2 linked regions of the Mytilus edulis genome follow. Each later gene encodes a partner of the first gene's protein in a complex. Links are inferred from orthologs where the notes say so. Each region holds a gene or a part of one and is shown on either strand. Other genes may lie near its edges. The genes, in order: vacuolar fusion protein MON1 homolog A-like and vacuolar fusion protein CCZ1 homolog.

Region 1 (11,142 bases):
TTGGTAATAATTTTTACCATTTTCGGCCTAGTATCTGAACAACCTGAATGGTTCAATAATGAAATTGCATATGCCAGAAAAATGAGAGAAAAATACCATAAATTAGAAATGTGGTCCGAGTTCAAATTTTGGCGAAACAGGACAAAGCACATAATCGATGAATCAAAAAGAAATTTTTATTCAAAGATGGTAAAAGATTCAAAAGCATCTAAAGATTTGTGGAAATGTATTCACAGTCTTAACCCATCCCAACAAGAAAAGCCATATGAACTTTTAAATGAAGATGGTATTAAAACTAATAATGTCAGGGACATTTGTAATGTTTTTAATAAGTTTTTTACATCTTGTGTTGAAAACCTGAGGACTGACAGATGTATGAGCAAAAATAATGATTATGCAAAATTAAATAATTTTGTACAAAAGAAATTTACTAAGTCAGAACAAGTAAAATTTTCAATTCCACCAGTCACAATAAATGGTCTATTTAATGAGATGATCAAACTTGACATTAATAAATCCACCGGATCTGATAACATAGGACCAAAAATTTTAAAATTGAGTGCTCCTTTCATAACTTCATCTTTAACTTACATTTTTAACAGAATAATAGATACAAGTACATTTCCCTGTGTTTTAAAGAATGCAAGAGTAACCCCTGTTTTTAAAGCTGGTGAAAAATTCATGGCAACAAATTATAGACCAATTTCTGTACTTCCAGTTTTATCAAAACTTTTAGAAAAGCATGTTTCAAAACATTTGTTTGCCTATCTTAAAAGATTAGATCTTTTACACCCAGCACAGTCTGGGTTTCGACAAGAACACTCTTGCCAAACTGCCCTTATCAATATCATAGATAAATGGATACAGGATATGAATGATGGTAATATCAACTTAGCAGTCCTGTTGGATTTTAAGAAAGCTTTTGATGTAGTAGATCATGATATCCTCTGTAAAAAACTTGAAATTTATGGATTTGATAATACTGCTGTTTCTTTTTTTTCAATCGTATTTGAATGAAAGAACTCAACAAGTACAAATTGGTAATGCTCATTCTGAAAAACTTCATATCAAGTATGGTGTTCCCCAAGGCTCCATATTAGGCCCCCTTCTGTTTATATTATACATCAACGACCTTCCTATTTATATGAAAAATTGTTGCACTGATTTATATGCCGACGATTCAACCTTACATCTTTCTGGTAATTGTTATCAAACTCTTCAGTCAAAGGTACAAGAAGATTTACATGGTGTAGAGGCATGGTGCAATGATAACAATATGTTCATCAATAAAAATAAAACAAAATATATGATTATTGGAACGAAGCAAAGAGCAATGCCACATTACAATGAGAGTTGTTTAACTATTAACAATCAAGTGATACAATCTTCCACATGCGAAAGTCTTTTAGGCATTAAAATTGACCCTTCCCTCACATGGACAACCCAAATTGACTTGATCTGCTCAAAAATATCATCTAGACTATATCTACTATTAAAGATTAAAAAATTTCTAAATCTAGACTGCAGAAAATTATTCTATAATGGTTATATCTTGCCACTTATTGATTATTGTTGTATAGTGTGGAGTAGTTGTAGCAGTGAGGGTTTAAAAAGGATATTAAAATTACAAAAGAGGGCTGCTAGATTAATACTAGAAACAGACCCATTCGCTCCTTCTGCACCCTTATTCAAACACTTAAACTGGATGACAGTTGAACAGAGAATAAAATATCATAAGTTAGTGATGACATTTAAGTGTATTAATAATGATGCCCCATCATATCTTACTAACAAGTTTCATTATGTTTCAGACAGAAATCCGTACCCCTTGAGAAATGCTGTTCAAGGAAACCTCATACTCCCTAAACCAAAAACAGAATTATTCAAAAAATCTTTTATGTATTCTGGACCATTCTTGTGGAATAATTTGCCAATACCGTTAAGAAATATTACAAATATTAATTCTTTCAAATACAAAATAACAGATCATTTATTGAAATCAACCTAGCTGTATAAATAATATAAAAAACTGATCATGTCATCATGTTTATTTTTTCATCACATTTTATCAAGTTGTATTGAACATTATTATCACACTTGACTTTTTATGCTAATGTATGTATGCAATGTACTAGTATATGTTTGTGTTTTGTTTGATTTTTCATTACGAGGGCCTCAGGGAAGATTAGTTATATAGCTAACTGTGTAACCCTCTTAAAATAAAGTATTGTTGTTGTTGTTGTTGTTGTTTATCTGAAAAAAATGATAGATAGATAGAACCTTAAATAAGCAAATATGGCCAACAAGACACACGATCTACAAATAAGCAAATGTGGTCAACAAGGCACACGATCTACAAATAAGCAAATATGGTCAATAAGACACACGATCTACAAATAAGCACATATGGTCAACAAGACTCACGATCTACAAATAGGCCAAAAATCCGAAATCATCAGTCTACTCCTTGTAGGAGAATTTACTCCTTAATGACGATTTTTACCAACATTACACGTTTTTGCCTATCATCTTAAAAACCATAAAATAGAGATAGATTCTTTCTATGGTGCCAAGGGGTAGTGATCAAATCAGCAGGTGGTGTTACAAAGTTTTGGTTTTCTATGTTGTTAAAGTACTTCTGTTTGTCTGTTTGTCTGTTTGTCTGTGTGTCTGTGTGTCTGTGTGTCTGTGTGTCTATTTGTCTGTTTGTCTATTAGCCATGTCGTTGGCAGTTTATTTTCGACTCGGACTTTGAATGTCCCTTTGGTATCCTCTATTTGTGTGCCTTTATGGAGGGATCATATCAGCTGGAAATTACGTTATAAGTAAAGAAGGGCCGAAACAGGGAGTTTCTACTGTGGTATAGCAGATGTTGTAATATGAAAGGGTCGATAGAGACACTTTTAATGATGCCTAGGTTGAAAGAATGGGATATTTGTCGAATATTAGTATAATATATAGGTATATAAAAATGTGGCATGAATGCCAATGAGAAAACTCTCCATCCAAGTAATAATTTATAAAAGTAATCCATTATATGTCAAGGCACGGCCTTCAACACGGAGCCTTGGCTCACACCGAACAGCAAGCTATAAAGGGCCCCAAAAATTACTAGTGTAAAACCATTCAAACGGTTTATTGATTGATTGCTGGTTGCTTAACGTCCAGTGGCAAATATTTCATGCATGGTCAGGGCTAGAACAGGTTAACAATAAAAACAATAGGTAGGTCTTGTACTGAATAGAAGCCGTCCGAGATGATGGTCTGGGAAATGAGGGTATAGTGGACAGAAATTTTGCCTTGCAACAGGCCACCTACGGACCCCTCAAAGAGGTGTTGCAAGGGTTCTTAACGTGCAGAAAGCGTGGCACTCTCTTTACACGAGACATCGGATTTAACGTCCCCATTCTGACTCGACATGGCTGCAAACTTGATACATCCCGCACAGCCAAACGGACGCCCCACTTTGTCTAGCGTTTTACTGCCGGTCGGAGGAAGATCAAGTGATCATACTTCTATTCCCCAGTCACCCTTTCCATTCCGAAAACGGGAAACCAACGGTCTAATCTATATAAAAACGAGAAACGATAAACACGTATGAACTACATAAACTGACGACAACCACTGTACAATGATTACATGTAAATGATAAAATACGTTTTAGTTGGTTTACCAAAAAAAAACCACAAAAAAGGAAATAAATACGGGTAATATAAAGGTTTTTCTGTATCAAAATATATGCAATGAAAGTAAGTATTAATTGTATCTATTTGTACAAATTATAAATTATATTTACACCATGATGACATCGGAAGTAAAGGATATATGTATACCTGAAATTTATCACGATTATCTTGACCCTCTAAAATGTGGGTCCACAAATTACTGAAATCTATCGTTTTTCATTAATCATAAAATCATTGTGTAAATTATATATAAGTTGAATGATAAACTTTCTTTTAGTGGTCTCCAAACAATAATCTCTTAAAAATATATATATAACAGACGGCTATTATTTTTTTTTGAAGAAATGTAAGTTAATTTCCTGCTATGACTGCGAATTGTTTCATTTCGGATTTTTGTAACAGTTATACTGTGCATAATTAATACATCATTGTTTTCCCAATTGGTTTATGTATTACCATTAAGAACCCAAAACAAAACATTAAACAGCGTATCAATAATATTATAAACAATTTAAATTATTCGTTCCTGTGATCTTTCATGATTAATTTCTAGCATTTACTTACTAGTCTGAATTCAATTAAAAAAGTAACATAACATTAACCTATACCGTTTTTATTAAACTTATGAAGGCAGACTTAAGTATAATAAGGCCGAGGCTTTCAACAAAAGCTATGATATATTTTACGAAACACCACAAAACTATCCTAAAGATATGAAATATCTATAACTTAATTTTCAAGCATGCAATTGTAGTTTTTAGTTACAAATAAAATATGTATAAATGATAAGCTATACAACTCCAATGTGTTCAAGATTAAAAGTTCAAGTAGAAATAAGTAAAATCACAAATATTGTGAAACAAGTTTTATTGTTTCCAATAATTGTTAGCTCGTCAATGTAAGAAACAACCATTAAAAGACAGAAAAATTTCATGATCCTGGAATAACAGTATATGATATTAAAGATATGAAACTTTGAAAAAACTCGAGAAAAAACTTAACTGATTTATAAAAAAAATATATAATTGTAAGTAACATGTTTTATGTTGTGATCATATTTTGTATGATTATATCAGGAACATAAATATACTGTTCCCAGATTATATGTATCATATATATTCTATGATAGACATGGTAATCTCATCCACTATTTGTGATGATTTTAATTCTATTTTTATCAATATGTTTATGTGTTATGAATGTAAGATTTTAATTCTATTTTTATCAATATGTTTATGTGTAGTTATGAATGTGATATATTGTGTATTGTTGTCATTATGTCCCGTCAGGGAGCCTTGATTGGAAAATAAAAGAACTTAGAACTTTGATCAAATTAGTATGAAGTAGCAGTCTTTTTTTTTTTTTGGGGGGGGGGGGGGGGGGGAACTTGACTAGCAATGATTGTACAGTAAGACTTACTTTACACAAGCCCTTTTTGGGGGACTATAAGAATTATTTTACAATATGCTCCTACGTCAAAGCCGAACTTTTTAGAATTTCAAACATAAGCTATCTGTTGTCACTGCGACATTATGTCACTTATGATCTAACTTAATTTCTTATAATGTGTTACATAATGTCATTTGCATACCAATAGACAATCTCAATCTAACCCACACTCTAAGCAAACCTTTACTGCAGTCTTCAAAGCATGGACTAGTATACTAGTAAAGTATGTCCCAGATATAACTAATGTTTTTGCTATGACGTTACGCACGATATTCGTACCTCATTGGAAATTCAGTCGGTGTAGTTGGCAAGATGCAAGTCCAAAATATATAATTGTGTGATATCATATTCATTGCTATTGTACGTATTTTAAAAAATAACGATTTTTAAAATAAAAACGAAACAAATAATTGTTGAAACTATGTTTTATGTTGCATGCGACAAGCTTCATTTAAAAAAAACGGCGATTTTTAGGTTGTCCCGCGTAACATATTTCATTTATTGTAACCACTATTAGTCTAAACTATGATTTTGCGGTCAAAACTATTTAATATTTTGAAAAACGTTTTTTTTTTCCATAATTAAACAGAATGGTTCCTTCAGTCTTTTATGCATTTTTTTATGACGTTATGATGACGTCATAGAAAAAACCGCGTTCCATACTACAAGGGCAAATCTGTCCCGCGGGGAAAAAATTGGAATTCCAGATTTGAGAATCAAAAAACATTTATCTAAAATGAAAAAAGTTTAGTATTTGTATTTACTACATCAATGTTAATTTGCTTAATTTTATGAATTTAAAGACAAATATCCTGAAAAATGATATATGGTAATTTATGAGCTATTTTTCAAAGGCTTACAAGTTTGTCGCATCGCCATTTTCTGACGTAAAAACGAACTCAACTCAAATTTACGTCAATTGTTTGCTTATCACTGCTCTTATAATGGTAGAATTTTATGATTTTTTTAAATGTTATTTTTCTTAAATTTTCAAGAAACTAAAATACATCAATTTTCGATGGGTAGTTAAAAAGCACCGTCGATGATTTTGCGGATTCTTACAAGAATGTCGCACTTGCTTAAAAACAACGTTTCAGTCAAATTTTCGGTTTGAACGTTACGACATATTCGGGACGTTGTGTTACGGTAACGCTTACATGTACGAACATCGCGCGTAACGTCTATACAATCATGAAAGCTAAAGCCAGACAAGCTTTTTGGACAGCTAACACTTGTTCCCCTTATATTTAGAATAATGATATGCCATTCTTTGAAAAAGTTTATTGAGACTCTCGAATATCAAGAATGTATTTATATGACAAATCAGAAGTTTTGCAAACACTGTAAACTATGTTACAGATTTAAAGCATACAACATCAAAAATATTTTATAAACCGGAAGTCATTTTCGGTGATCTCAAATAATGAACCCTGGCTATGGACGAGTCAGAGGGCAAAGAGGCGGAACAGGTGCCCCCTTCAGTGCGAAATCCAGACTCCGCTTCTGCTTCTGATCAAGACGATTTTGTAGAACCTGCATCAGAAGAAATAAAGAACGCAGTTCTTGTGGCAGCAGATACCTTTGTGGATATAAATTACGACGATCTGGTCAACGAAGATTATGACAGCCATCCAAGTGGTGTCATTCACGCCATTGTTCGTTCTGGATCTCAGGACGAACACAGTTCCTCAGAACACAATGACACATCCACTGGTGAAGAATCAAGTGAAGATCACAATGAGGTCATTATCATCTCATGTCACGAAATATTAATATTTGTGTACAGCCACAATTTTTAAGTCCATTAGGTCCAAAACAATGTTCCTGTTTATAAATGATCAGATATACATGTAATATCTGTTGGTTCCAAGACCATGAGTTCCAAAACGATTTTAAGATTTTAATGCCAAACTTACAACTGTTCTTGATGTATACTATAATACCACATTTAAAACAAAAACATACATTTTGTATCAATACACATAATACAGGGCATAGTCCGAGATTATTCTGATGTTCTTGGACTATACAGTGCAGTGCCATAGCGGAGGGGGGCATTTTAAAGTTCTACCCTTGTCCAACTGAACGTCCATAATTACATCTGTCTGTACGTTCCAAAGTTTGTTTCCGTTCTCTTACTTTAGATTGCCTCAAACAAATGTTATGAAACTAATTACCACAAAATACAGATAAAGTTTTTATTTTGGGGGTGGCACTTTTATTTTTCTAGAGTTATGCCCCTTTACAAATGAAAAAATTGTTTTTTTATTCTGTCTCTAACTTAAGTTTGCCACAACTAATTTGGCAAATGCTATGAAACATTTACACAAAGCTTATTGAAGTATAAATCAAGGCAGTATTCGGGTGGTACTTCAACCGTTCTAGAGTTATACTCTTTTACAAATTGATAGCGTCACTTTAACCGTTTTTTTTTTAGTGGTTCATCTTTGTCCCATGGACACATTCCCATTTTGATATTGTTTTTTTTTTTTTGGTTTATCATTTTCACAGTGGTGTAACTTATAATTAAACTATATATGCAAATCAATGAAATTCTTTTGAAAATTGGCAATGGGTAGAAAGTCTATGTATTTTTACAGATAAGTGTAATGCCTAAAAATTGCAGAAATTATTGAGTGCATTTATTATTGCAAAAAATTATGAAGAATGGACTAAAATGCAAGATTATTTGTTGCAGTTTCAGGAAAATCTGCATACAGTTGTACTTTTAGATATCAGAATGTGAGGTTTATTATTGTGATACTCATTCAATCACATTATTCCCATTTATGAAAACCTCACAATGATTTCTGTCATCTAAATTTACAATAATCATGATGATAGTGGAAAAAAGTAATTGTCAAAATAAAAATGAAGTGGTCTTATCCAATACCTTTGTGTGCAAACATTTGTCAAAGACAGATGAATGTATACATACCTGTACAAAATGTACCAATACAGTTAAATAAGCTAATCCTTCTTATTTTTCATGTTTTTTACTAGATTCCAAAAGATTTATCTGCAGCTTTGAATGATGTGGTTTTGAAAGAGTCTGACCCTATAGAAGAAATTGAAGAAGATGAGTATGGAAAAGGGTCCAAGTGGCAACTGGAAAAGAAGCATATTTTTATACTAAGTAGTTCTGGAAAGCCTATTTACTCACGGTAATAGATATTTTATAGATAGGATATAAATCAGAAAATTTATTGTTATATGCATGTTTTTTTCTGTTCAAATGATTTAGCAATAGATAAAAGTTATCTGTATCAACATGGAGGGATCATCACATTAGGGGAAGAGAAAGAGTTTAACACTAAATTGGTTTCAAAATAATCCAAAGTTATTTTCATTTCCTTGCTTTTTTGTCATGGAGAAATTAAAAAAAAAATTTTATAGCAATAAAATTTGATTTTCACACTTTAATACTCGCCATGGCAAAAATGACAAGTCCCAATGATTTTCTAACCTGATAACATGTATTATTACAAAGTATATAAAATTTTCTGTTGTATTCAGACATTTTAAAAACTTGCTGTCAATTAATATCTGTTCATTCTATTCTATGGCTTTCCAGGGTCCCGAACTTCCCATGTAAAAAGTTCAAAATAAAGACTTTAAAAATCTTTATTTTCTGCAAGTGAAATGTTTGTACAGCATTTGAAAAGAAATATCTGAAAATTGTCTTGTTAAGAATTTTTACAACCATCTAGCATATTATATTTCTGTGTAATTTTGTGTATTTTCGTATTATCAATGATTATGTATTTAATTAGTGCTATAAGATTAATATCTTCACATTAAAATTCATATTGAAAGTTTTATTTATACAGGCATGGTCAGGAAGATAAACTGGTGACAATTATGGGAGTTCTTCAAGCTTTGATATCATTTGTGTCTGCAGCTAAAGACTCAATGCGTAGTATTGTTGCTGGAGATCATAAGTTTGTGTTCTTAGTTCGAGAACATATTTACCTTGTTGCGGTATCAAAAGGATTGGAATCAGTCCAACAACTTGTACTACAACTATCATATATTTATAATCAAATTCTTAGTGTACTTACATTTACTTCATTACAAAAAATCTTCAAACAGAGGAGAAATTATGATTTGCGGAGAATGTTGAGTGGATCCGAAAAATTTATTGACAATCTATTGAATTTAATGGACCATGACCCTAGTTTTAAACTTCAAGCAGTACGATGTCTGCCTTTAGATAGCCCCGTTAGAGATAGCATTGCTCAAAGTATAATTCAACATGCAAGAGTTAAGGTAAGAATTGATGTACAACAGTTCGACTACCATTGTACATGTAGCTCGAGTTATACAAAATTTTAGCTCCAGTTACAAAATGTAAACAAAATTTGTATGTTTACATTGGACATTCAAAATATTTATGTACTAGTACTACATGTACATGTACATTATATTTTTTGTTAAACATTAAATATTAGTCCACAATGGCCAAAGAAAGGGTTATTTTGATAACTAATATTTATAATAAAGCATTATAAGAAAACAAATGATAAAGGGATGTAAGAATACATCATAGTGAAAATACATGACATACTTTAGTACAAAGGCACTTTAATTTATTTAGGGATAAAGGGGGAGGGGCGCAAGAATGAACGGAAAATAAGACTATTTCATGTATGTCTTGAGGGCTATTTTCTCAAATAAATGCACTACAGAATGCATATGATAAGTTTTTTAATCAAAGCAACATAAGATTAAGTCTCCTTGTATATTATATGTGTATTGTATTTTTAATTGATCTCTAAATCCTACTAAAGATTCAGGCCAGTATTTCATATTATCTATACCCAGTAAAACATGCAGGGTTTCCTAACAGGCTGGGCAATACTAATAAAACACAAGTTTTGTCAATTCCATTTAGTTTGACTGACAAAACAAGAAAAAACATTTTTGAACTAATGATAGTTAAGAGGAAGAAATGTCTTATTTTTTAATTCATTAAAAAGAATATTACAAATGTATAAAGTGAAAATGAAAAAAAAGATAGTTTGGTACATGTATTTGCCAATGAGACACAGCAACCGAATGACGCAGTTAGACAAATCCACAAGAATCCCTATTCCAAATAGAATTGTTTATGAAAGATAAAAATAAACATTCACAGTACACTGGAGAAGACAAATTAAATTGGCATATTTTAATCTACTTTAATTGAGGATATATATATGGCTTTGATTGCATTTTTAGATTATACATGGTATAAATTTTGTTTATTTATTTATTTTTGGATGATTTCAGGACTTAGTTTTTGCGATTATTTTAGCAAACAATCAGTTAGTGACACTGGTACGAATGAAAAAATATTTCTTGCATCCAATGGATCTCCATTTAATCATTAACCTTGTGAATGCCTCCGAGTCTTTCAAAGCTGCTGAGTCTTGGACACCAATATGTCTGCCAAAATTTGATGCAAGGTGAGTAAAACAGAAATCTCTTGTAAAGAGTTTTCTTCTACAAGCCATCTAAAATGTGGATTCCTTTGGTTTTATCTTATAAAGTTTTTGAACTAAATATAAAAAAGAAGACTTGGTATGATGGCAAATGAGACAGTCTTTTACAAGAGACAAAATGACAGAGAAATTAACAATTCTAGGTCACTGTTTGACCTTCAACAATGAGCAAAGCCCCATGGTCAGTTATAAAAGGGTCCAAAATGACAAATGTAAATAAAAACAATCCTTATGAGAAAACTAACTGCCTAATTAATGTAAATATAAAAAAGAAGATGTGGTATGATTGCAAATGTGACAACAAATAGCCTTTTTTTCATATTACCGACATTTAACTCTAAATTATATAATTTTTTTTTCAAGTTCCCAACTCTGTTGTAAAACATCCTGATACTAAGTCAAGCAAGAGCAATCAAAACAAACATAATCTAATAACAACTGATTCAATTTTAGGGGGGAAATAACTGTTTTCTGATGATTTTGTTGTGTATATAAAACATCAAACAGTTAATTCTCCACACATA
Region 2 (10,610 bases), on another chromosome or scaffold:
ATGCAAAGACCCTATATGTGAATCAATATTAACGCCAAAATAAGCAATCTTTAGTGACCTGACAACAGTATCGTAACTATATCCCTTCTTGATAAGTCTATTTAAAGGTTTTGTTAGTTTCTGAGGTGAATACTGACATTTTTGTGCTTTATAAAGAATAGTTCCATAAAAAATTGGATGTGAAATACCTGAACTTATAAGAAGTCTGCATGTTGAGCTATATTTACGAATGATGTCCTTATACCGATGATAAAATTTAGTAAATGTTTTGACTAGTTTGTGATATCGAAAACCCTGGTGTAATAATTTTTCAGTAATACATAAATTTCTCTCGTTAAAATCTAAAACATTGTTACATACACGAGCGAATCGTACAAGTTGAGATATATAAACACCGTAAGATGGTGACAATGGAACGTCACCATCTAAAAATGGATAATTAACGATAGGAAATGAAAAATCATCTCTTTTATCATAAATTTTAGTATTCAGCTTTCCGTTAGTGATATAGATATCAAGATCGAGAAAAGGGCAGTGGTCATTGTTAGTATTAGCTTTATTTAAAGTAAGTTCAACAGGATAAATTTTTTTAGTATACATACTGAAGTCGTCATTATTGAGAGCCAAAATGTCATCCACATATCTAAAAGTATTATTAAATTTGTTTATGAGATGTTGTTTCGATGGGTCTTTGCTGATTTTTGTCATAAATTGTAACTCATAGCAATACAAAAACAGGTCCACAATAAGTGGTGCACAGTTAGTCCCCATTGGAATTCCAATAACCATACGATATATAGAATCTTCAAAGCGAACAAAAATGTTATCTAGTAAAAATTCAAGGGCATATATAGTATCAAAGCATGTCCAATTGACATAGTTTTTTTGTTTATTGCTACTAAAAAATGACCTAAAAGAGTTTGAACATATATATTCACATTCTGACTTTTTAAATGCCCATTTAATTAGGTGGGTGAATTTTTTCTTAATGAGAATGTGAGGCAATGTGGTATACAGGGTAGAAAAATCAAAACTTTGAACAGATTCAAAATCACCAATATAAGCATGCAATTTATCAAGTACTTCCAACGAGTTCTTGACACTCCAAAAGTAATTAATTCCACTATTTTCGAAGGCCTTATTTGAACAATTTATTATCAGGTTTTTGATTGTACCAAGTGTACTGGTAAGAAGAATAGACAATTTAGTAGTGGAACAATGGCTTGAAGACGAAATAAATCTATATTTGTAAGGTGTTTTGTGTAGCTTCGGAAGCCAATACATAGTAGGGACTTTCATTGTATTCAGTTCTGCTTGTAAAGGGGTAGCTAAAAGTTTATGTTTGTTACAGATGTCGATTTCTGAAAATGGAGTCAGTTGGAATGTTGGTGAATTGGTAATTTCTTTTTTCAGAACCTCAATGTAAAATTTACGTCAAACAATAACAATATTATTAGCAGCTTTATCGGCCGGGAAAAAAACAAATTCCTTGGCTAGTTCTTTTAGTTTATGTTTGATACGAGAATTAGGTTTATTGTGGTTATTGTTAATAATAAAATGTTCTTTAAAATGTTGAATATGTATATCAACTATGTTCATTACTGAATTAAAGAAAGAGTCCAAAGATTTTTTGTCAGCTTTTTCCCGTTTTATCCATTTCAAACAGTAAGTACGGAGTGAGTCGTGGATGATATTACGAAATTCATTCCAATTAATAACTGACGGGGGACGATATTTAGGTCCTTTACTGAGGAATGATTTTAACTCTCAGTCTTGAACGATATTAAGATCTCCTGTTATAACATGGGAAATGGGTCCATAAATGTATGTGGAATTACTACAATTACATGAAGTAGGTGTATTTTCACTGATATTAGCGGCTAGTTTAAGAAAGTTATTAAAATTTTAAAAACTTTAATGACAGAGTGAATGTAATGTTTCCTGGCAGAAAAACTAAGTCCATTTAAAGTAAAATACGGAAAAACAGGATTTTTTTTTACAAAATTTACTTCTGGATACTATCTTAAGATCATAAACAAGCTTCTGTCCAAGTTTGGTAGAAATCCAGGCCAGTTTAAGGAGGTTATTAAAACTTAAAAAACTTTAACCACAGAGTGAAAGTAATGTTTCCTTGCAGAAAAATTAAGTCCATTTATAAGTAAAATACGGAAAAACAGGAATCTTTAACCACAGAGTGAATATTTGTGAACGCCGCCACCGCCGACACCAACAGAATGTAGGAAAGCTATATCTCACTTTTTCGACATAAGTCGAAGGCTCAACAAAAATATATACAACCTGGTAGTAAAAGATAAAGTTAGAGTTTGTAGTTTTATATGAAAATTTGCAATGACATCTATAAAGAAAACAATGAAAGTATATAAGTTCCATTAGTAACAAGATAATATTTTACAACAGGGATATAGTTGTCATAAATTGGTTAAAAATTTACCTCATTTTATCACAGATACAAATGCATAGTAATTCATTGAGGAAGAATTAATCCACTTACAGGTATTCAACAAAACACACATGTACATGTAACATTTCAAACCCATCATTTTCCTTTTCTGTTATTTATGCAGCTTAACAATTAGGAGTTGTCTATTAATTATTTAATTTGGCTTAAATAAAAGACTGATACTAAGAGTATCATTTATCATTGCACCCGAAATTTCTAAGGAATGAACATCAATTTGCTACATGTAGTTAAAGTTTGACAGACCAAAAACAGTTCTAACTTTAACTTCATCATTGAAATTCTGTTCAAATATTTTGTGGCATTGTGTCTTCCTGTTTCTGCTTATGATGCTGATATCAATTTGTCATATATATATACATGTAAATACCTTTATCTTTGACTTTCTTCTCTATCTCAGCAAAAGCCTGGTCAACAGAATTATCATCTGTTATATCAAGTTTTATTATCTGTATACTACTGTACTCTGATCTAAGTTGACTGGCTCCTTTACCATCTGGATTATAACACCCAGCAAACACAGACAATCCTTCTCCTGATAAACGACGAGCCACAGCATTCCCAAAACCTTTTAAGATAAAGTTACCAAAAAAACAAGATAAAAACTCTTTTCTCAATGCTTTCAAAATAACAACCAAATCCTGAAAGTTTGGAATAACTTCATGACACCACTTTTGAGTTCGCCTTAATTTACTAACATGAAGAGGAGAAATACATACAGTAATTTATAGTATCCTTTGAATTTGGTTTAAATGTTATTTTTTATCAGTAACAATTTTAATGTTCATAAGGCACAATATTAAGCAATTGATCATAATTACTTTTACTTTACTTTAGTCTGTACTGTTCCGTCTATATTAGACGACCAACTTTTCAGTGTGAATATCATTAAAATTGTCATTTAATTCAATGCACTAGTTGTATGTTATACCATATTACCATAAGAATTATTATAATTCTAAAATACAAGTATGGTCCAAATCTACCTGATATTACTTAAGTTTGAAAAGTCAATAACCAGAGACTATCAACCCATCTTCTTTTGCTCTGCATTGAATGGATCCCATATATCCTTTGTCATGTTTGTTTTCCTATTACATTATTACCTGTATCACAACCAGTTATAAAGACATATTTTTCCTCTGTGTTTATTCGTCTGAAGGTAAGTTTCTGATACACTACATTTAGTATAATGAGAAAAGCCACAAACAGTATTGTTTTGGCTATGAATGGTTGGACTATAATGAATGGTAGCACTGCCAATACTCCCAGATAAGTCAGTTCAAAAGCCTGGAATCCTATGAACTTCTTGATTCCCATTCCTAAGTAACTTCTTATGCTGTCCATTCTGATAGCTTGTAGCTTATACTGCTCTCTGTAATTAATCAATACACATGTTTAACAACTGCAGAATGAGTTTTCTTAGAATTGATCTGTTTAATCTTACTGAAGCACACAATGTATTTAATTTTTGAATAATTAGCATTGACTAGCGAAAGCTAAAAAAATTCCAACTGCACTGCACAGCACAGAGTAATTTTGTAGGTGTACCAACAGTCATGTTTGTCCATTTGTTATACATTTTAATGAACACTGTAAAGGTTCATCAAAAGAAATTGAAAATGGCTGCGTTAACATCACAAAATCTACTATGAATACAGACAAACTGATGCATCTAGGAACGTTTTAAGGCATGGCAGGACCTAGATATATAAAAGTTATAAGTAGTCTATGTTTCAGAAAATTAAAAACTTTTACCTGGATTTTGATGTGCCTTTTTTTACAGTCTGCAGAAGATAGCAAAATAAACAAACACACAAGTTTCATTCGATACAGTCAACTCAGTTACACAGTTTAAATCACCTCTTGTTTGCAATGTCTATTGTCCATCTATTGTCCATTTAGATCAATACTACATACAACTTTGATTATATGAGAGGAGATTCTCAAACTTTTCCCAAACTTAGTTTATTTTTGCACCTTTTTCAGGAATGAAAAAACTGAATAGCAAAATCCATAAAAGGTTATAATTTTCTGAAACATAAAATGCATAACCTGACGGTACCCAAATTGCACCTATTTTGACAGTTTTTTCTCCTACGTTTTTTTATGATCAAGACAAAAATGTCCACTCTGTGTTTATTTTGTAGCTGTATCCTTCTTTATTATAAAAGTACACCAATTTGATTTTTAATCCATATTGAGTCATAGGTTTGAATCGACCTCCAAACTATTCATGATTTCGTAATGAGGAGTACCCAAATTGCATCCATGCTTAAATTTACATCATTAAAAATCGAATAACAAATGTTTTGTTTTATTTTTTCAATTATTTAGAACAATTGGATATTAGTCCATATTTAGTCTTATTTTTTTAAGAAATGGATACTTGTAACATATTGTTTTTGTTAATTTAAAAAAGATGACGTTTTAATGATGTCGCATGGCGACGTTTCCGTACATTTTGCTTTTTCAGTAAACACTTCATCTGTTGATAAATACTGTGAACGTTTTGTGTATATCTAAATATCTTTACATATGTTGAAAGACGTGCATAGTATCAAATCATAAAAATGCAAATTGTTTAGTCTCTAGGAAATCTTGTAAGATATCCACTGATATTTTTTCTAAATAGGTGCAATTTGGGTATCCTGCCATGCCTTAAAACTTCTCCGGGTGGAAAGGTTTGTCTGTACTTAGAGTTAAATTTAGGGTGTAAATACTGACATATATTTTAGCAAAAAGGTTATGATGAACTGAGCTAACAAAGAAATGTTAAAATATTTGCATTCCAATACAAAGAATTATGACGTCTTATAGTATAATGATGTTCATAACTCTATGAAACTTGAATATTTCATATTTCATTCTATGAAAATTGTGTTTTTGATAGTTATGTAAATACTTTACATTTTTACAAAATAATCACCCTATGATGGCCTATCGTCCTCAATATCGAACCATACAAAGTGCCAAGTGAAAGTAGCCGGAAATAGACTAGAAAAGGACTTCCTGTTAAATCGAAAGTAGAGTTGTGAAGTAGGAGTAAACTTTGAAGTCTGCTAGGCTAGAAAATGACTTTCATCAGAGGCATTAATGATTTTGACAATTGTATTTTCTGGATCACAAACCTGCATTAATTAATGCATGAATATTTTAACGAGAAACAAGAAATTTCCACTTCATGTTGTTGCAACAGTGATAAGTTGTCAAACATTTTTACTAAGCATAGTCAAAGGCCAACTAGTAGAAAATCAAGCGACCAAGAAATAAAACATAACAGCACACCAAATCATAACAAAAGCATGGCTGTTAAAGGAGGAATAAGCCTGATTAATTTCTTTGTATTCAATTCAGAATATGGACCAAGAGAGGGTGATGTAAGTTTATACAAAGTACAAGGTATTGTGCCTTGGTTATTTAAGAATATACACTCTTTTGATAATTCATATTCTTAGCTGAGACTCCATATAAAAAACAAAAATGAAATGTGCAGAATATATGTACCAATATTGAGAATAAGACCTGGGCATATAAAATAGAAGATGTGGTATGATTGTCAATGAGACAACTGCAGTCCACAGGAGACCAAATGACACAGACATTAACAACTCACCCTTCACCCTAATTCAAGTCACCCTAGTATCTGTTCACCCTTATTCTATTTCATTTTGATGTCTTGGTATACATAATTTATATAATTTGAATACACTATGTTAATGTAAGTTGCATAAAAAACTATAAACTTAAAAATTTCGCATTTACATGTAGAGTGTGTCCTACTTATTTGACTTTCTCAGTTTATCAACACTAAAAGTTAAAATTTTCCATGTTTTATTTTAAAACCATGGCAATGATTTCTTAGATAAAAAAAAATGATATGTCAAGAATTGCCACTCAAACATTGTCAAACAGAACTTTTTGATAATGCTAAAATGTTTATTTCAGGAAGAGAAAAAGATCATGTATTACTATCCAAAGAATGACCATATAGATACTAAGATAAAACAAATTGGACTGTGTGAAGCTATCTGCAAGTTTACTGAGTAAGTACATTTTGAATTGTTATTTTTTTTTAAATATCTGAAGCAATTACACATGTAGGCTTGCATTTTTGCATGTCTCTTCTGCTTAAAAAAATTATGATTAGGTTAAATATTGAAGAATGATGATCAGACATACATGTTTGATTACCATACAACTTTTGACCCTTATCCAATACCTTGAACAAACTTTTTCTAGAATTTCCAATAGGTTGAAGAAGTTTTCTATTGATTTTGATTTTGGTATCACTAGGTCAAAGGGTAAGTGATAGAATGAAATTTGGACAAATTCTGGTTTCCTACCATATGTCCAAACTTCATTAATTTATTTAAAAATGACCTTTTCAAAGAATAAGACCTCTAGATTACAAGGTTCAGATCAAGGTCATGGTCACAACACCTACAAATAGACTGCCAATTTTGGCAAAGGTTTGATAACTGGGCAATACATTTCAATCCATGAATCAGATGTTTACTATTTTTCATTGGATTTTGGGGTGAAAAAGATCCATGTTGATTTTAGGGTCACTTGACCAAGATAAAGATCACAGCAGTGATTAAAAGACTGAAATTTAGGTGCATTTTAAGTGTTTGCCATTGATATAGTCCTCTAAACCCTACATCTAATCTTGACCAAAGTTAGTCTTGTAATTTCCACTAAGAAGGAAACAAATCTGGGAAAAGGTTTGTTTCCTAACAAAATCTTTTGACCTATAAATCAGATCCTTACCAAAGCATGTATCAAAATATGATGCAATCAAAATATGATTTAATATGGCAAACTGAGCTTAATAATGATTTCAGAGGCAATAAACTATATGGTAACAAGCTCAGAACTTATAGACTTTTTAAAAGCAGATTTTGCTTAGAAAATTACCTTTTGCAGGAAAATTTTAGATATAGACATTATTTAACAAAATTCCATATCAGTGCTCACGATTTAGAGATTGAGAGAGGAAGGTACAAAAATATGACAGTGTCAGAACGTATCTGTAAATTGTGCGGTACTGAGGTTGAGGATGAAATTCATTTTCTTCTTCAGTGCCACAAACTTTCAAATATTCGTTTCAACTTTTTAAATGAAATAAAACAACGGTTTAAAAATTTTAGTGGTTTAGATATTAAATCACAATTTATTTGGCTAATGTCCTCTGAAGATACTTTCATACTCCAGAAACTCGGAGAATTATTGGAAAATTTATCCTCATATAGGAAAGTTTCCTTAAATGATATATAGATATAGAAATGCCCAGTGACCCTCCTTATATTATTAAACACTGTGCTTGTTGTATTCTTGTACTTGTCTTAATAAATATTTTTTGGTTTGGTTGTTTTTTTGGGTTTTTTTATAACATTGTGTCTTAATCATATAGAATCACTTGTAATCATTCGTATGTAATTAATGTTGATTGTTCTGCTCCTTGTGGGCGCTTTGATTAGCAATAAAATATATTTGAAATTTGTATTTTTTGCTTCCTCAACAAAGAAGACAGCATTTGAATTTGAGGTCAACATGTTAATACATATACTATAAGGACTTCAAAATTGTGTTAACAAATTAAATAAATTTACAGTTGATTATAAAATGACAGTTAACACAAAAAAGACCAAGGTTCTTGTATTTAACAAATCAGGAAGACTTAAAAATATTAAAATTTCATCAGGAAACCAGACTTTAGAATGTGTACAGAACTACACATACTTAGGTATAAATTTTTCATCATCTGGGAGTTTCCAAATAGCAAAGAAAGAACTTTATAACAAAGGAATGAAAGCATATTTCAAATTAAGGAAGACCTTTTCAGTGGAAATCCCAAAACCTAGTACTTCATTACACATCTATTACCATATAATCCGACCAATCTTGTTGTATGGATCTGAAATTTGGGGTTATATACCACATAAGAAACAAATACATTTGGATAACTTTATATCAAAAGAAACTGATTATCTTGTACTAGAGAAAATTCATACTAAGCTTTGTAAATTTTCACTTGGAGTTAATATAAAAACATCAAATATGGCAGGTTCACTCCCTACACTGTATTATGTAATAATGAATATGGTAAAATATTGGATCCATCTTATGAAAGATATTGAACCTTCAAATAGTATTCTAAGGGAAGCCATAAATCTATCTCATTCTATGGACAAACATAACCAGGAATCTTGGATAGGAAAATATTTAAATTTCTAGACTTAGAATATCTATTTGTTAACCAGTCAAACTTTAAACAAAACCATATAAAAAGTAAAAACATCTTTAACTATTAAATTTAAAGAAAGCTGGTTAGCTAGTTTAGAAAGCAATTTTGGGAAGTGTACTAATTTATAATCTGGCAATAAATTAAGAACTTACAGAAAATTTGAAAATATTTTTATGTTTGAACCATATTTAAAAATGAATTCAAAAAAAGACAGGCAAATAATCACAAGATTTAGAACTAGCTGTCATGATCTTGAAATCGAAAGAGGGAGGTATACTGGAATTAAAGCTGAAGACAGAAAGTGTAAGCTATGTTAGAATGCAGTTGAAGACGAACTACATTTTCTTTTAAAATGTCCTGTTCTAAAAGATACTCGATCTCAACATCTATCTAATTTAAATTCTAAATTCAAAAAATTTTCAAGATTATCTGATGAAATGAAATTTGTCTGGATTCTTTCATCTGAAGATTTGTTTGTTACTTCAAACTTATCTGATTTATTGCACTCCCTTTTTGAAGAACGAAAGAAAATTATAGATAATATTGTTGTTTGAAAAAAAATTAGAAGAAAAATATATATAGATATATATATATTGGAAATAAAATTGATCAGGAGTTGTCTCCCATAGATCTAGAACTATAAAAAAATTATGTAATTTCTCCAGGTCACAGTGGCACCCATAACAACTATGTTTTGGCAATAACTTGGTTTATATCAGGTTAATTAGTGTAAATGTGTATTCATGTGTTCTTTTGTTTAAATGTACTTTAATCATTCTAATCATTTTCTGTGCTTTATTTTGTAATTCATTTGATTGTATAGCTCAAATTTTGGGCACCATGATTGGTTAATAAAATTATCTATCTATCTATCTATATTTAACTTTGTTAAAAAGAAAAATCTTAAATGAATGGGAAAATTCTAGGGTAGTGGCTGTCCTACAAAAAATTGTCAAAAGACACAGTCTATACAATTGAATTAATAGTTGGAAAAGGCTGATTTGTCATAGGAGAGTGTAACATTTCATACACAATAATTGAAATAAATGTACATGCAAACAAAAATCTATCTAATATATCTTATATTGAATAAAATGTATTATTTATATATTTGTAGAACATTTTCTGATAAACCATGTCAAAGTTTACATACACAAAAGACAAGACAGACATATTTAGAACCAGAGAAAGATTTCTGGATAATCATGGTAAAATAAAGAAATGTACTATATTTAAGAAATATCAATGAATATTTTTTTCTGCATATAACTCATTTCTTTCTTTATTCTGTTTAGAAAAATGATAAATTAATTCTTGTGATTTTTTGCAAAATCAACCTAGTACTGTAGTTTCATTATTGTGCAATATCAACCTAGTACTGTAGTTTCATTATTGTGCAATATCAACCTAGTACTGTAGTTTCATTATTGTGCAATATCAACCTAGTACTGTAGTTTCATTATTATTTGTTGGATACCAATTTTCATTGATTTAGTTGGTACAGGTGAGTCAGGAAATGAAATGTTATTTATGTACGCATGCAAAACTAAGAAATTGAATATCAACCAACATGCAAGTTTTCCTTAGGGACGACATCAAAAGTTCTATGTAGGATTAAAAACTTAAATCATATAGTTTTTTCACTGACCCCCCTACTCCCCCCCCCCTCTTTTAACTTAATTTGGGTATAAAATCAATGTCAATTAAACAAAACTTGCAGCAATTTTGACCCCTCCACCCCCAAACTATTTGAATTAAGTTTTTTATCCTTCATTGATTTTTTTATGTCGTCCCTTAATTGTTGAAAATTGGTACCCACAAACATTTATTATTTAATCCACAGTATGTAATAACTTAGTGTACCATATTAGATATATATTA

What was found.
Region 2: the proteins of vacuolar fusion protein MON1 homolog A-like (region 1) and vacuolar fusion protein CCZ1 homolog are in contact, whole or in part, in a cryo-EM structure (PDB 8JBE), measured with the Drosophila melanogaster proteins. The link is inferred for Mytilus edulis from reciprocal best matches to the Drosophila melanogaster genes Mon1 and Ccz1. Residues at the interface, in NP_608868.1 of Drosophila melanogaster: Trp112, Gln113, Phe120, Leu142, Val145, Ile146, Leu149, Phe152, Val153, Gln157, Asp158, Ala159, Ile160, Thr161, Ser162, Ile163, His164, Ala165, Gly166, Ile168, Phe170, Phe172, Arg185, Arg459, Ser464, Arg465, Pro466, Leu467, Lys468, Leu469; in NP_647835.1 of Drosophila melanogaster: Lys48, Gly51, Leu52, Ile56, Phe59, Thr60, Thr62, Phe63, Thr64, Asp68, Cys69, Gln70, Ala71, Leu72, His73, Thr74, Gln75, Lys76, Thr77, Ala114, Glu115, Ala412, Asp413, Asn416, Pro427, Ala428, Glu429, Glu430, Val431, Gln432.

Annotation. Positions count from the first base shown.
Region 1 is NC_092344.1:78,428,200-78,439,341, reverse strand, and holds the start of vacuolar fusion protein MON1 homolog A-like, read left to right. Parts: upstream 1-6,532; 5' UTR 6,533-6,571; coding exon 6,572-6,877; intron 6,878-8,138; coding exon 8,139-8,299; intron 8,300-8,965; coding exon 8,966-9,404; intron 9,405-10,406; coding exon 10,407-10,582; intron 10,583-11,142. UniProt on the Drosophila melanogaster protein: Part of the Mon1-Ccz1 guanyl-nucleotide exchange factor complex specific for Rab7 that promotes the exchange of GDP to GTP, converting Rab7 from an inactive GDP-bound form into an active GTP-bound form.
Region 2 is NC_092352.1:32,878,604-32,889,213, reverse strand, and holds the start of vacuolar fusion protein CCZ1 homolog, read left to right. Parts: upstream 1-5,473; 5' UTR 5,474-5,622; coding exon 5,623-5,859; intron 5,860-6,427; coding exon 6,428-6,525; intron 6,526-9,846; coding exon 9,847-9,937; intron 9,938-10,610. Other genes in the region: short-chain dehydrogenase/reductase family 9C member 7-like, read right to left, coding at 2,850-3,047, 3,586-3,826. UniProt on the Drosophila melanogaster protein: Part of the Mon1-Ccz1 guanyl-nucleotide exchange factor complex specific for Rab7 that promotes the exchange of GDP to GTP, converting Rab7 from an inactive GDP-bound form into an active GTP-bound form.